Linked DNA regions of Oryctolagus cuniculus. The protein of the gene in region 1 interacts with the protein of each later gene in a pairwise test. Links are inferred from orthologs where the notes say so. Each region holds a gene or a part of one and is shown in the gene's direction. Other genes may lie near its edges. The genes, in order: CEP70, METTL17 and TSGA10IP.

What was found.
Region 2: the proteins of CEP70 (region 1) and METTL17 interact in binary tests that used the Homo sapiens proteins (3 or more experiments, as listed by UniProt). The link is inferred for Oryctolagus cuniculus from reciprocal best matches to the Homo sapiens genes CEP70 and METTL17.
Region 3: the proteins of CEP70 (region 1) and TSGA10IP interact in binary tests that used the Homo sapiens proteins (3 or more experiments, as listed by UniProt). The two-hybrid records come from large-scale screens. The link is inferred for Oryctolagus cuniculus from reciprocal best matches to the Homo sapiens genes CEP70 and TSGA10IP.

What each region holds. Positions count from the first base shown.
Region 1 is NC_091435.1:143,186,514-143,190,257, forward strand, and holds the start of CEP70 (centrosomal protein of 70 kDa), read left to right. Parts: upstream 1-1,391; 5' UTR 1,392-1,622; exon of another isoform or gene 1,623-2,554; intron 2,555-3,744.
Region 2 is NC_091443.1:53,913,630-53,917,373, reverse strand, and holds the start of METTL17 (ribosome assembly protein METTL17, mitochondrial), read left to right. Parts: upstream 1-1,409; 5' UTR 1,410-1,486; coding exon 1,487-1,567; intron 1,568-1,720; coding exon 1,721-1,874; intron 1,875-1,963; coding exon 1,964-2,098; intron 2,099-3,192; coding exon 3,193-3,274; intron 3,275-3,498; coding exon 3,499-3,580; intron 3,581-3,744. UniProt on the Homo sapiens protein: Mitochondrial ribosome (mitoribosome) assembly factor. Binds at the interface of the head and body domains of the mitochondrial small ribosomal subunit (mt-SSU), occluding the mRNA channel and preventing compaction of the head domain towards the body.
Region 3 is NC_091432.1:5,831,728-5,835,471, reverse strand, and holds the start of TSGA10IP (testis-specific protein 10-interacting protein), read left to right. Parts: upstream 1-916; 5' UTR 917-983; coding exon 984-1,112; intron 1,113-2,133; coding exon 2,134-2,270; intron 2,271-2,371; coding exon 2,372-3,060; intron 3,061-3,160; coding exon 3,161-3,308; intron 3,309-3,744.

The sequences.
Region 1 (3,744 bases):
CCGAACTTGTATGTTCAACTGTCTAAAAACCCTAACGACCTTACCGTAGGGGCCGCCGATCCAGCCCAGCTGCGCCTGGTGCAGATGTCCAACCAAACTTGAGTTTGAAATTAAACTCTTGCGTTTGCATGAGTGTCGGCTCCTGGTGGTCTTCACTGGTGGGAATCGGTACAACACTTGCACATCGGAATCACCTGGGGAGCTTTACAAACTCTGGATGCCTGGGTCCCCACCTGGAGATCCTGGTGTGATTGTCTGGCGGCCCCTGCATCCGGAGTTTCCCAAGCTCCCCAGGTGATTTTCTTTTTTAAAAGTCTGGCAAGGGGGCCGACGCCACGGCTCACTAGGCTAATCCTCCGCCTTGCAGCGCCAGCACAGCGGGTTCTAGTCCAGGTCGGGGCGCCGGATTCTGTCCCGGTTGCCCCTCTTCCAGGCCAGCTCTCTGCTGTGGCCAGGGAGTGCAGTGGAGGATGGCCCAAGTGCTTGGGCCCTGCACCCCATGGGAGACCAGGATAAGTACCTGGCTCCTGCCATTGGATCAGCGCGGTGCGCCGGCCACGGCGGCCATTGGAGGGTGAACCAACGGCAAAGGAAGACCTTTCTCTCTGTCTCACTGTCCACTCTGCCTGTAAAAAAAAAAAAAAAAAAAAAAAAAAAGTCTGGCAAGGAAGTCGATTGGTCACCGTGAATAAACACCATGAACAGAAGAACTCAAGACATCTCCAAATTTTGGCCCTGGGATTCCAAGGAGAATGACAGGGAGAAGGGGCAAGCCGGAACTAGTGTTTCTAGCTGGAGACCTTTCTGATGGTTCAAACACAAGCCTGAGGCTTCAGAAAGTTTACTGCAGCGCAGGAATAGCTTCCATTAAAAAAAGAGGGGGGGGCGAAATCACACAAAAATCCCGCCACAAAGCCACGAGACACCTGGGATCCCACGGCCACACTGACTGGAAAACCAAGTGTGAGCCCTGATTGCCAGATGCTACGCAGCCCAAGACCCAGTCTCTACAGGGCCCTGGAAAACCACCGTTGTCCCTCAGCGTCCACATCTCTGCATTTTACGGAGCCCGATGTAGGGCCAGACACTTCGTGGCCACCGGGAAAACGCCCAAAGGGAGGGTGAAACGCCAGCCGCTCCGAGGCTCCCCCAGGTCCGGAGCTTCGACACGCCGGCTGCTCCCCCAGCAGGAGCTCGCGGTCCTGGCGAGGGTCCTGCGCAGTGGCCAGGTGCTCCGAGCCTCATTTTCACCTGCGGCCACATATTTGCATATCTGAAATCTCCTGGGGAACCGAGGCCCTCCGTAAGCGAGAGCCCCAGCCAGCGAGAGGCCGTAGAGCGCGACTGAAACGTCAGCGGGCCTATGACAGCCCGCGGTGGTGGTAAGCCCCGCCCCCAGCAGCCGGAGCCAACCAGGGGGCGCGCGGCGGACCCAGCCTCCTCGAGAGGCCGGAGATAATCGCTCAGAAAGTTCCGAGGCAGAGCAGAGGTTTGACCTCGACCCGCTCGGGCTCGATTGGCCAACCTCCACTGGCGTCGGTAACGGTCGCGGAGGCGGGGCCGGAGGCGGTGGAGCGGAGCCAGGCAGGGCCGGGCCGGGCCGGGCCGGGCGGCCGAGGAAGGTGAGTGGCGCTCGGGACTCGGCCTGTGGGCGCCGAGCGTTGCCGGGCGCCCCGGGTGGAGCGGGCTGGGACCGGCTCCAGCAGGCTGTGTGAGGGTTTGGGGATTGGTTAAACCTGCTTCGAGCCCCGGCCCCCCAGCCTTTGTGGTCTTCGGCGTCTCCGTTTGCTCCTGTGTGCAGTCTGCTGCCTTCCAGGGCGGCTGTGGGGGCTAGACGAGGCAGGCAGTGCGGAGCTCAGACTCGGACCCGGCTAGATCAGACTAGACCCTGGCCGAGTCGGCGAAGGGCGGACGGGCGCTGACCGCCGCGGCCCTCGGCGTCCCGGAGTGGGGCAGGTGTCGGCGGAGGGTGCCGGGGACACACGGAGGCGCGTAGCCCGCCTTCTCCGGTTGTCGGGCGCATTCTGGATCCGGGGTGCGCAGGGGATTCTGACTTCACGTGGAGCCTCATGTGATTCTTAAAGGGTGAAAAATCCCCCGAGCTGAGGCACTTGTAACAGTAACGCTTGTAACAGACCAGTCAGCAAGGGTTTCTCATCATAATGTTTGACGCCGTGCAGCCACTGCCCGTGTTGGTCTCAGCCCTCTGCGTGCATTTGTTTTTGTTTTTACTTTGAGTATTGCCAAGCAGAGCAGGCCGCCTCCGCTCCGCTTTTTGGGTACGAGGCGGCTGATTTGGAGTTTCACTGACGGGGTTGCTTCAGAGCGGGGGAGGAGGGTGTTCTGGCCCTCCTTGTAACCTCGCCGGCACAGGATGGTTTGGTTGAGGTGACGTCCGGGCCCAATGGTGGTGGATTCAGTTCGTCCTTTGGAACGTTGGCCTATCTTCGGACTAGTTTGCATTTCATGGAGAACACAGACTTGGAAAGCCGTGCGTGTTCATTTGTTGGAGTGATTTGGAATACGTCCTTCGGAGAAAGTTTATAGATTTTCGGTATGACTCACTTGAGAAAGAAATTACTGGCCATGATCTGTTATTTCCAGCTCTCTTCCCCCCGCCCCCCAAATGGCGAGAAAAATAAGTTTTTTAAGGTTTGATGCATGTTAGGCTATATTATAAGGGACCATTTGACCCAAAAGATTGTTGGGAAACCTGGACAGTGCTGGAAGATACAACTGTGTTTTTGCTTTTCTGTGTTTGGCTATTTTTTTAATGGTTTTTTTTTAATTTATTTTCACTTTATTTATTTGAAAGGCAGAGAAACAGTTTTCATCAGCCGGTTCACTCCCAAATATTCGCAACACTTGGGGCTGGGAGTCAGGTACTCAGTTCAGGTGTTCTGCTTGCGTACCAGGGACCTGATACTTGAGCTAGAACCTGCTGCCTCCCAGTGTGTGTGTGCTAGCAAGAAGCTGGCATAGGTAGGAAAGCCAGCACGTGAACCTGGGCACTCTGCTGTGGGATGCAGGTATGGTAACTGCTGAGCCAAATGCCTGTCCCCTGCTTGTCTGTATGCCAAGTGCAAACCAACTCTCAGCCCCCAAACCTTACTCCTACAGCCTGCCTTTAGTTGTGTTGTGACACTGAGTAGAGCTACAGCCTCGCTTCTGCCCCAGGGAGAGTTTAGTCTCTTCTGTGACTTTCAGCGTTCTGGACTTTTCTCCTCTAACAGCCTGCAGTGGGGAAAAGGCTGCTGCAAACTATCACCACGTTTATTTCACAGACTGGTGTAGGCTGATCCTGCAAGGCCCGCACTGGTGACGGTGCTCTTGACAAGACGCACTCAAGACCAGTTTCTGTGAACATGTCTATTAACGATGAAGCATAAGCTTTTAAAGGGCAGGCAGAGGGGGCGTAGCTAATTCAGGGCAACACTATAGGATAGATCTGATATTGGCGCCACTATGCTTCTCCAATCAGCTTGAAGGTCACATAGCCTAGTAGCCTACCAGGTGGTCCTTATGGGTCTGGGGCACACCCAGGAGTTGTTTACCTATTTGACCCTTTACAAGGTCCTTCACCTGGGAGCAGGGGTCAGGGAAATGTGCCCGGGAGGCATGGTGTGCCATGCCCTCCTAACCTCCTGCTTGGGGTAGGCAGGCAGTCTTCCAGCCAGGCACAGGATCACCCACAAGGGAGAAGAGGAGGGAGGAGGCTTATGATGGTGAGCCAGGAAGGCCATC
Region 2 (3,744 bases), on another chromosome or scaffold:
CATATTTGGACTCTTGCCATAACAGCAAAGGAAGAACTTCTACCCATCCTGTCACTAGACTTCTATCCCAGCAGAGTAAGGATGGACCTTTGCTACAGATATCAAGAGTTTACGGCACAGTAAGCTTTTTAGTGTTACATGCTAACACCTCCAAACACTTAGCATAAAGTTAACTAACTTGTGCCCCAACCACCAACAATATGGGGTATAGCATATTGTGTAAAAATGAAATCAGTGTTAAACTAGCTGTCACCTAACAAGATTTGTGATCTCAGGGGCCGGCACTATGGCACAGCGGGTTAAAGCCCTGGCCTGAAGCACCGGCATCCCATATGGGCCCCAGTTCTAGTACTGGTTGCTCCCCTTCCCATCCAGCTCTCTGCTATGCCCTGGGAAAGCCGTACAAGATGGCCCAAGTCCTTGGGCTCCTGAACGAACCCCTGTGGGAGACTCAGAAGAAGCTCCTGGATCCTGGCTTCAGATCGGGGCAGCTCTGACCGTTGCAGTCGTCTGGGGAATGAACCAGCGGATGGAAGACCTCCCTCTCAGCCTCTACCTCTCTCTGTAACTCTTTCAAATAAATAAAATAAATCTTTAAAAAAAATTGTGATCTTGCACATATTTAACCATTAGAAGTCTCACTTTCCTCAAGTGCAAAATGGGGCTGACAGCAGGATATGCCTTGGTAGGAACTAGATTACATAGAAGGATTTTCTTCCTTAATTTTGAAAATTTATTTTTAAACACAGAGAGAGAATCTCCTGTTGATTCACTCCTCAAATCCCAGCAACAGCAGGGGTGAAGCCAAGCCTAAGTCAGGGACTGGTCATTTAACCCGGGTCCCCTACGTGACAGGGACCCGAGGACTTGGGCCATCACCTGCTGCCTAGCAGGGTGTGCACCAGCAAGAAACTGGAATGCGGAACCCAGGAACTCTGATATGGGATGCTGACTTCCCAACAGACCCCAAGGAGAAGTTCCTAGCACATTACCTAGCATGTGGGCGTTCTCAGCAAGCGTTAGCGTTAGCTTATTGCTAACTGACGAGAAACTGACAACTAATTAAACTGTTAACTAAATTATTAATTTACTACCTTTAGTAGTTTAAATCTGGTTTCCTCACCTTTTCATTACTGCATTCTCCGGTTCACAGAGGAAAACAACTCCAGATTCAGTTCTACAGGGAGAAAAGCAACCAGATTTTGACAGCCGAAAGCCCGCCTCCGTCCCTCATGCCCCGCCCCCTCAATTTCGGGCTCTGCAGCACCCCCTTTCCGCCGATCAGGTCGGACCTGACTTCCAAGTCCCGCCCACGAACGGCTTCCGCCGCGAGTAGATTTACATATCGACTGCTTATTGGCTACTAATGAGCACTCCTTCTTCTCATTGGTTGATGCTGTCTCGAGCGAAATCCCGGAGGAAGTTCCGCGCGTCGTTGGGAGCTGAGGGTCACTTTCGTTTCTGTTTCCGGTTCGCCTGCGAAGGCATGGCGGCTGCGTCGGGAAAGAGGTTGCCCTCGATATTGGGCAGATGGCGCCGCGGGCTTCGAATGGCCCCCCAGTCCCGGGTGAGTACCTACTTTCTCTGCTCCCGAAGAAGCTCTGGGACCCTAGAGACAGCTGCGCTCCAAGAAGGAGCTGTTTGGCAGCCGCTTCCTTTAATTGAGAGCCCTCAGTCTTCCTTTGTGGCTGGCACCCAGCTTTCCTTTCTCGGCTTCCAGGCGCTGGCGGCCCTTGTTCGCGGCGTGAGTCAGGTAGATAACAAGTCCGATTTTCTGGGGAAGAAGCCTCACCGTCGGCACCCTGGCATCCTACGTCTGCCGTGCGTGCAACTGCCACAGGCACTGGCTGACGCCGCCCAGCTACTGCTACTCCGTAAGTAACGGCGGGAAAGGGGTATCCGAGGAGAAAAAGAAATGGGCCTTTGCACACAGGTAATTCTGCTTTTCATCTCTGGCCTCCAGAGAACGCAGTGCCCAATGTGGAGAAGCATGTGCAAGCACTGACCAATTATCTCTGGAGCCGACACTTGCCCGTAGAACCTGAGGAGCTACAAAGACGGGCTGTGAGTCTGGAGAAAAAGTTCCTGGAAAACGCAGGTAGGATTGAAGACTGATGAAAGATTAGGCCGGATTGAAACTGGGGAATGAAGTGCAAGAGATAATTTTACAGTCTCTCAAATAGATATTGGAGTTTCTTATTTGACTTTCCACCTTACTGGAAGATAGATTTGTTCCAGAGACTACCCTTGGGACGTGAGGAAGGGACAGAGTATGGCAATTGAAATCTGGATCCCAGTTGGGACCATCTACTTTTTTTTTTTTTTTTTTTTGACAGGCAGAGTGGATAGTGAGAAAGAGAGAGAGAAAGGTCTTCCTTTTGCCGTTGGTTCACCCTCCAACGGCCACTGTGGCCGGCGCACGGCGCTGATCCGAAGGCAGGAGCCAGGTGCTTCTCCTGGTCTCCCATGGGGTGCAGGGCCCAAGGACTTGGGCCATCCTCCACTGCACTCCTTGGCCACAGCAGAGAGCTGGCCTGGAAGAGGGGCAACCGGGACTAGAACCCGGTGTGCCGGCACCGCTAGGTGGAGGATTAGCCTATTGAGCCGCAGCGCTGGCCCATTCTTATTAAGGTGAAAGTCCCTGTAAAGTTAACTGCCTAATGCTGAAAACCTCTGGGATTGGAGAATACATGTAATATATTCACGGTTGTGAGCTCCTTCGTCTTACAGACCTTTTATTTATCTTGTGTCCCCTACACCCCCCACAATCTGGCTCTGAATGGGCATTTAGTACATACTTGCCAAACACAATAGAGTCCCTTTTCCACCTATAGGAACATTCAAGATGTCACAGTCTTAAGTTTTGGGGAAGTGAGGAAATCCACAAAATAATTGTCCTTCTCTTATCCTTTAAATCTAAATTGTATTTTCCTTTATTATAGAAAAAAATTTGTTGGGTAGGGTCAGTTAAGTTGAATATACTGCTGTTGGAGGCAAATACTATCTCATACACTCTAGGGGTGCTGGTGGTGATTATCCTTAGCTGAAATTTTTCTCTAGGTTTGGCTGCTTTCTTGAGCTTTGAGGCTTTTCCAGTGGGAGAGGGGAGAACCGGGAGGGCAGTGAATTAAATATTGGATCTGGTCTCTGTTCTCCTTAGGTCCTCACTTCCAGTCCTTGTTCTCACCGCAGACTCATCCCAGACAGAAGAAAAGCTTCGTGGAGCAGTGCTACATGCCCTGCGCAAAACCACCTACCATTGGCAAGAACTGAGGTGAGGGGGACTAGAAAACATGCAGAAGGAAGAAAAGTTGGACTTGAAAAGGAGAATGGAGCCGCACAATTGCATGATCAATGCAGTGTTTGAAAAAGTGCCTGAGTGATAGTGATCCCCAGGACCACTCTGCCCTGGGGAGTGAAAAGCTAAAGTGGAAGAGCCCTTTCCAAGATCTTATTTCCTCGCAATGGTCAGCAGGTGTGACTCTGATTTTTGTGCAGCTACAATGAAGGACTGAGCCTGGTGTATATGGCAGCGAGACTGGATGGTGGCTTCGCGGCAGTCTCCAGGGCATTCCATGAGGTGAAAAATCTGTGTCTAACTTGAACGCTCTTACCTGCTGTTCCCTTATTGATTCATAATGTAGTCTGTACGGTAGGGATTCTTAGGGTGCTGCGTAGGCTTTTATGCTTTGCTTTTTTTTTTTCTTTCTTTCTTAAAGTTCTCTTGTCCTGTAAAAGGATTCT
Region 3 (3,744 bases), on another chromosome or scaffold:
TCAGTGCAGCTCTACCGTTGCGGCCAATTGGGGAGTGAACCATCGGATGGAGGACCTCTCTCTCTCTCTCTCTGTAACTCTGACTTTCGAATAAATAAGTAAATCTTTAAAAATTTTTTGTTTTATTTATTTGAAAGGCAGAGGGACAGAGAGGTCTTCCATCCACTAGTCCACTCCCCAGATGCCCGCAACAGCTGGGCTTGAGCCAGGCTGAAGTCAGGAGCCAGGTCTCCCGTGTGGGTGGCAGGGGCCAAGTCCCGGAGCCATCGCGGCTGCCTCCAGCCGCAGACCAGCAGGGAGCTGGATTGGAGGTGGAGCTGGGACGGGAACCCAGCAGACGCTCAGGTGATGGGAGCGTCTCAGGCAACCTGCCAGCCCCCTGCGCCACAGCGCCTGGCCGCTGTCCTCACCGCCGTGCAGCCCGCTTTCCCAAGCCTCGCCCTGTGATCGCGCAGCAGACCTCTGAGCCGGGCCCACGGCCCAGGTGCAGGAGCAGCAGTCACAGAGCCTGCAAGGCCGCTCCCGGGGGGCGGCGCGGGGGCCTTGTGGGGGTTCACATCCCAGGGCTTTGCTCGGCACTGCCGAGAAGGCTGGGGTCAGATTTCGGGGCCGAAATTCCTCCCAAGGCCTCCTCCCTGCAGCCTGCCTGGGCCTCCAGAGTGACCCAGTCCTGGGGTCCCTTTTGCGGATGGACGGGGAAACACAGGCCGAGGCTACGGCAGGAGAGCCGCTCACACAGGGTCCGTGGCGGCGGCGGGCTGTGGCACTGGTCCTGTGGGCCTCCAGGCCTGGGTCGCTCCTCAGCGTCCAGCTGAACTGTCCCCTGGCTGGCCGTGGTCCTCACCTACCCTGGAGGACCCCTCCCTGAGGTCCCTTTAGCCAGAGCGCTTGAGACGGGCTGGGAGCGGTTGCCGTGGAGATGGCCGGAAGGACAGTTCCACGCTGTGGTGGACGTGGGGGTGGGGACGGGACAGGACACCAACATGCTCCACACCCACCCACAGCTGGCCAGGCCCTCACCCGGGAGACCGGGCCAGGACCCTCGGTCTCAGGCTCCAGGGACGGCCACGAGGCTGCTTGACCTTCTGTCCAGCATCCCCCAGGCAGAGCAGGTGAGGGGCCCCGTGGGGGGGGACTTCCAACTGCCCAGAGGCAGGCGGGCACTGGGCTCAGGGGCCAGGACTGGACTGAGGCCCCAGGGGAGGGGTATGAGGGGGTGGAGGAGGGGCACAGGGTGACTTCGGGGTGACGGTGTGATCCAGGGGACATGGACCCCGCAGGAGAGACAGGTTTCCGGGATCGGACGGGACGTCAGAAGAGCTGTCCACTCGTTACACTGCTTCATCTGACGAGGTCTTTATTGCTTATTTAGTGTTCATTCTCTCAGTTTGTTCACTGATTTTTCAGTTTTAACTGAGATGGAATAATTGGGCGTGTTTCTGGGGCACACCTGGGCATCGGCACACCCACCCCTTAAACGGTCCTCATCCCTCTGCCTTGGGGACTCGTGAACTCCTCCTGGCTGGGGACAGATGGCACGGGGCTGGGTCCCGGCTCCACGGCTTCCCAGCCATGTGTGCTCACGGTGAGACCTGGGTCCCGGGCGTGGTTAGATGCGTTCTGCGAGAAAGGCCCGAGCAGGTGGCAGGAGCCTCATCAATGGCAGCCGTTGCTATTTTTTTCAAAGATTTATTTTATTTATTTGAGAGACAGAGTGACAGAGAAAGGTAGAGACACAGAAAGAGGTCTCCCATCCACTGGTTCACTCCCCAGATGGCCACAGTGTTCAGAGCTGCGCCGATCTGAAGCCAGGAGCCAGGAGCTTCTTCCAGGTCTCCCACATGGGTGCAGGGGCCCAAAGACTTGAGTCATCGCCCACTGCTTTCCCATTAGCGGAGAGCTGGATGGGAAGAGGAGCAGCCGGGACATGAACTGGCGCTCCTATGGGATGCCGGCGCTGCAAGGCAGGGGTTTAACCCACTGCGCCCCAGCCCCAGCCATTGCTAGTTCAATAGGAAGACTTGAGAGTGGTGATGGGTCTCAGAGGGGCCCAGTCAGGGTGTGCAGGGGAGGAGAAGGACTCCAGGGATGTGTAGAGGTGGCCTCCCCTCTCCCCACCCCGTCTTGGTCCAGGGGAACCCCAGGAGCGGCGAGGGCGCCCCGGTTCGCAGCCTGCTGCAGAGGTCTCAGAGCGCGAGGCAGACGTCCAAGAAGGACCACAGGCCCCGGCGGAGGAGCAAGAAAGCCCAGAGCTGCGCGGAGGCCGAGGAGTAAGGGGCAGGGGCGGGCTGGAGGGGGGCTGGCGGGTGGGCGTGGCTCGGACCCGGACCCGACCCTGACCCGACCCCCGCCCCGCCCTCTCCCTCTTCAGTGTCTTCGCTGCTCCCCGGAAACCTTCCTTCCCCTTCCAGTGGGCCTGGGAGAGCTTCATTACAAGTGCCTCCGCGGGGTCCCAGCCCAGCGGCCCCTCGGCCCCCGGCCCCCACGCCCCGCCCTTCCCCCAGCTCAGGTCCCGGCGCGGGTCCGTGGCCAGCCTCCCGGACGCCCTGGGCTTCTGCCAGAAGATGGAGGTGCAAAGCCCTGAGAGGAGGCAGCAGCAGCTGGGGGCCTGGAGCCCCTCGCCTCAGGGCAGAGGGGAGAACCCAGGGCTGGAGGTGCCCAGCGAGCGTGCCCTCTGGCCGACGGGGAAGCCGGCAGGACCCGCGCTGGAGTGGGAGGGGGAGGCCATGGGCGCCGAGGAGGAGCCCGAGAGGGACCTGAGCCCCCGCCAGCTGCCCCAGCTGCCCCGCAAGGGGCTGCTCTCCGAGGAGGACCAGTGCTCAGAAATGACGGAGGAGGACGAGGACGAGGAGCTCGGGGCCCCCCACAGGAGGAGGGCCGGGCCCCTGACAAAGGGGCAGCACCCTGGGGACCCGCAGAGCTGGAGCCAGAGCCGCAGGAGCAGCCCCAGCTCCGGCCACCTCCCCGGGGCCCAGAGGAGGAGGCGGAAGGCCCGGGAGCTGGAGGGGCCCTGGGACCTGGAGATGCTGCGTAGGCAGCTGCAGCAGAACCTGGACTGCGGTGAGCGAGCGCGGGGCTGAGCCCTGGGGCTGGGCTGGGGCTGGGCTGGCCCCCGCGGGCCGGGACGAGGGTGGGCCCTGATCTGGCCCCACCGAACCAGGCCCCCAGAGGCAGCCCTGGAAAGCTCTCCAGACCCCCGTCCAGGCCTCTGACCGCAGCGGGAAGGCACACGTGCTGGGAGATGACGAGACGTTCCCGTCTGCCAGCCTCCCCAATCGCACCTTCCACAAGCGACAGGAGGCCACCAGGTGCGGAGAAAGAGCGGGGAGGGCGGGGAGCCGGCAGGAGCCAGCTCTCCGGGAGCCCCCGGCCGTCCTCCCCGCCTTCGCCTCTTCATTCCCACCCTGTGTCCACCAGTCTTTCTGACAACCCAACCACCGTCGGCCATCCGTCGGCCCGCCCACCCACTGATGGCATCCAGTCAGCCACTCCCTCACCCATCTCTCTGTGAACTGTTTGTCCACACAGGCCGCTTTGCCTCCATCCCCTGCCTCGTCTTCCCGCCCTCCTTAACCCATGCATCGTGTGATTCACGCAACACAGACTGAGCACGCGCTCACGGGCCTCGGGGTTTGGAGATGGACTCTGGGCACCCAGGGCCCGGGAGAGAGGGCTTTGGGCAGTTATGTCCGTTCGGTCGGGTAATTGCTCCGCGTGGGCCTGGACAGGAGACTGGGAGCGGAG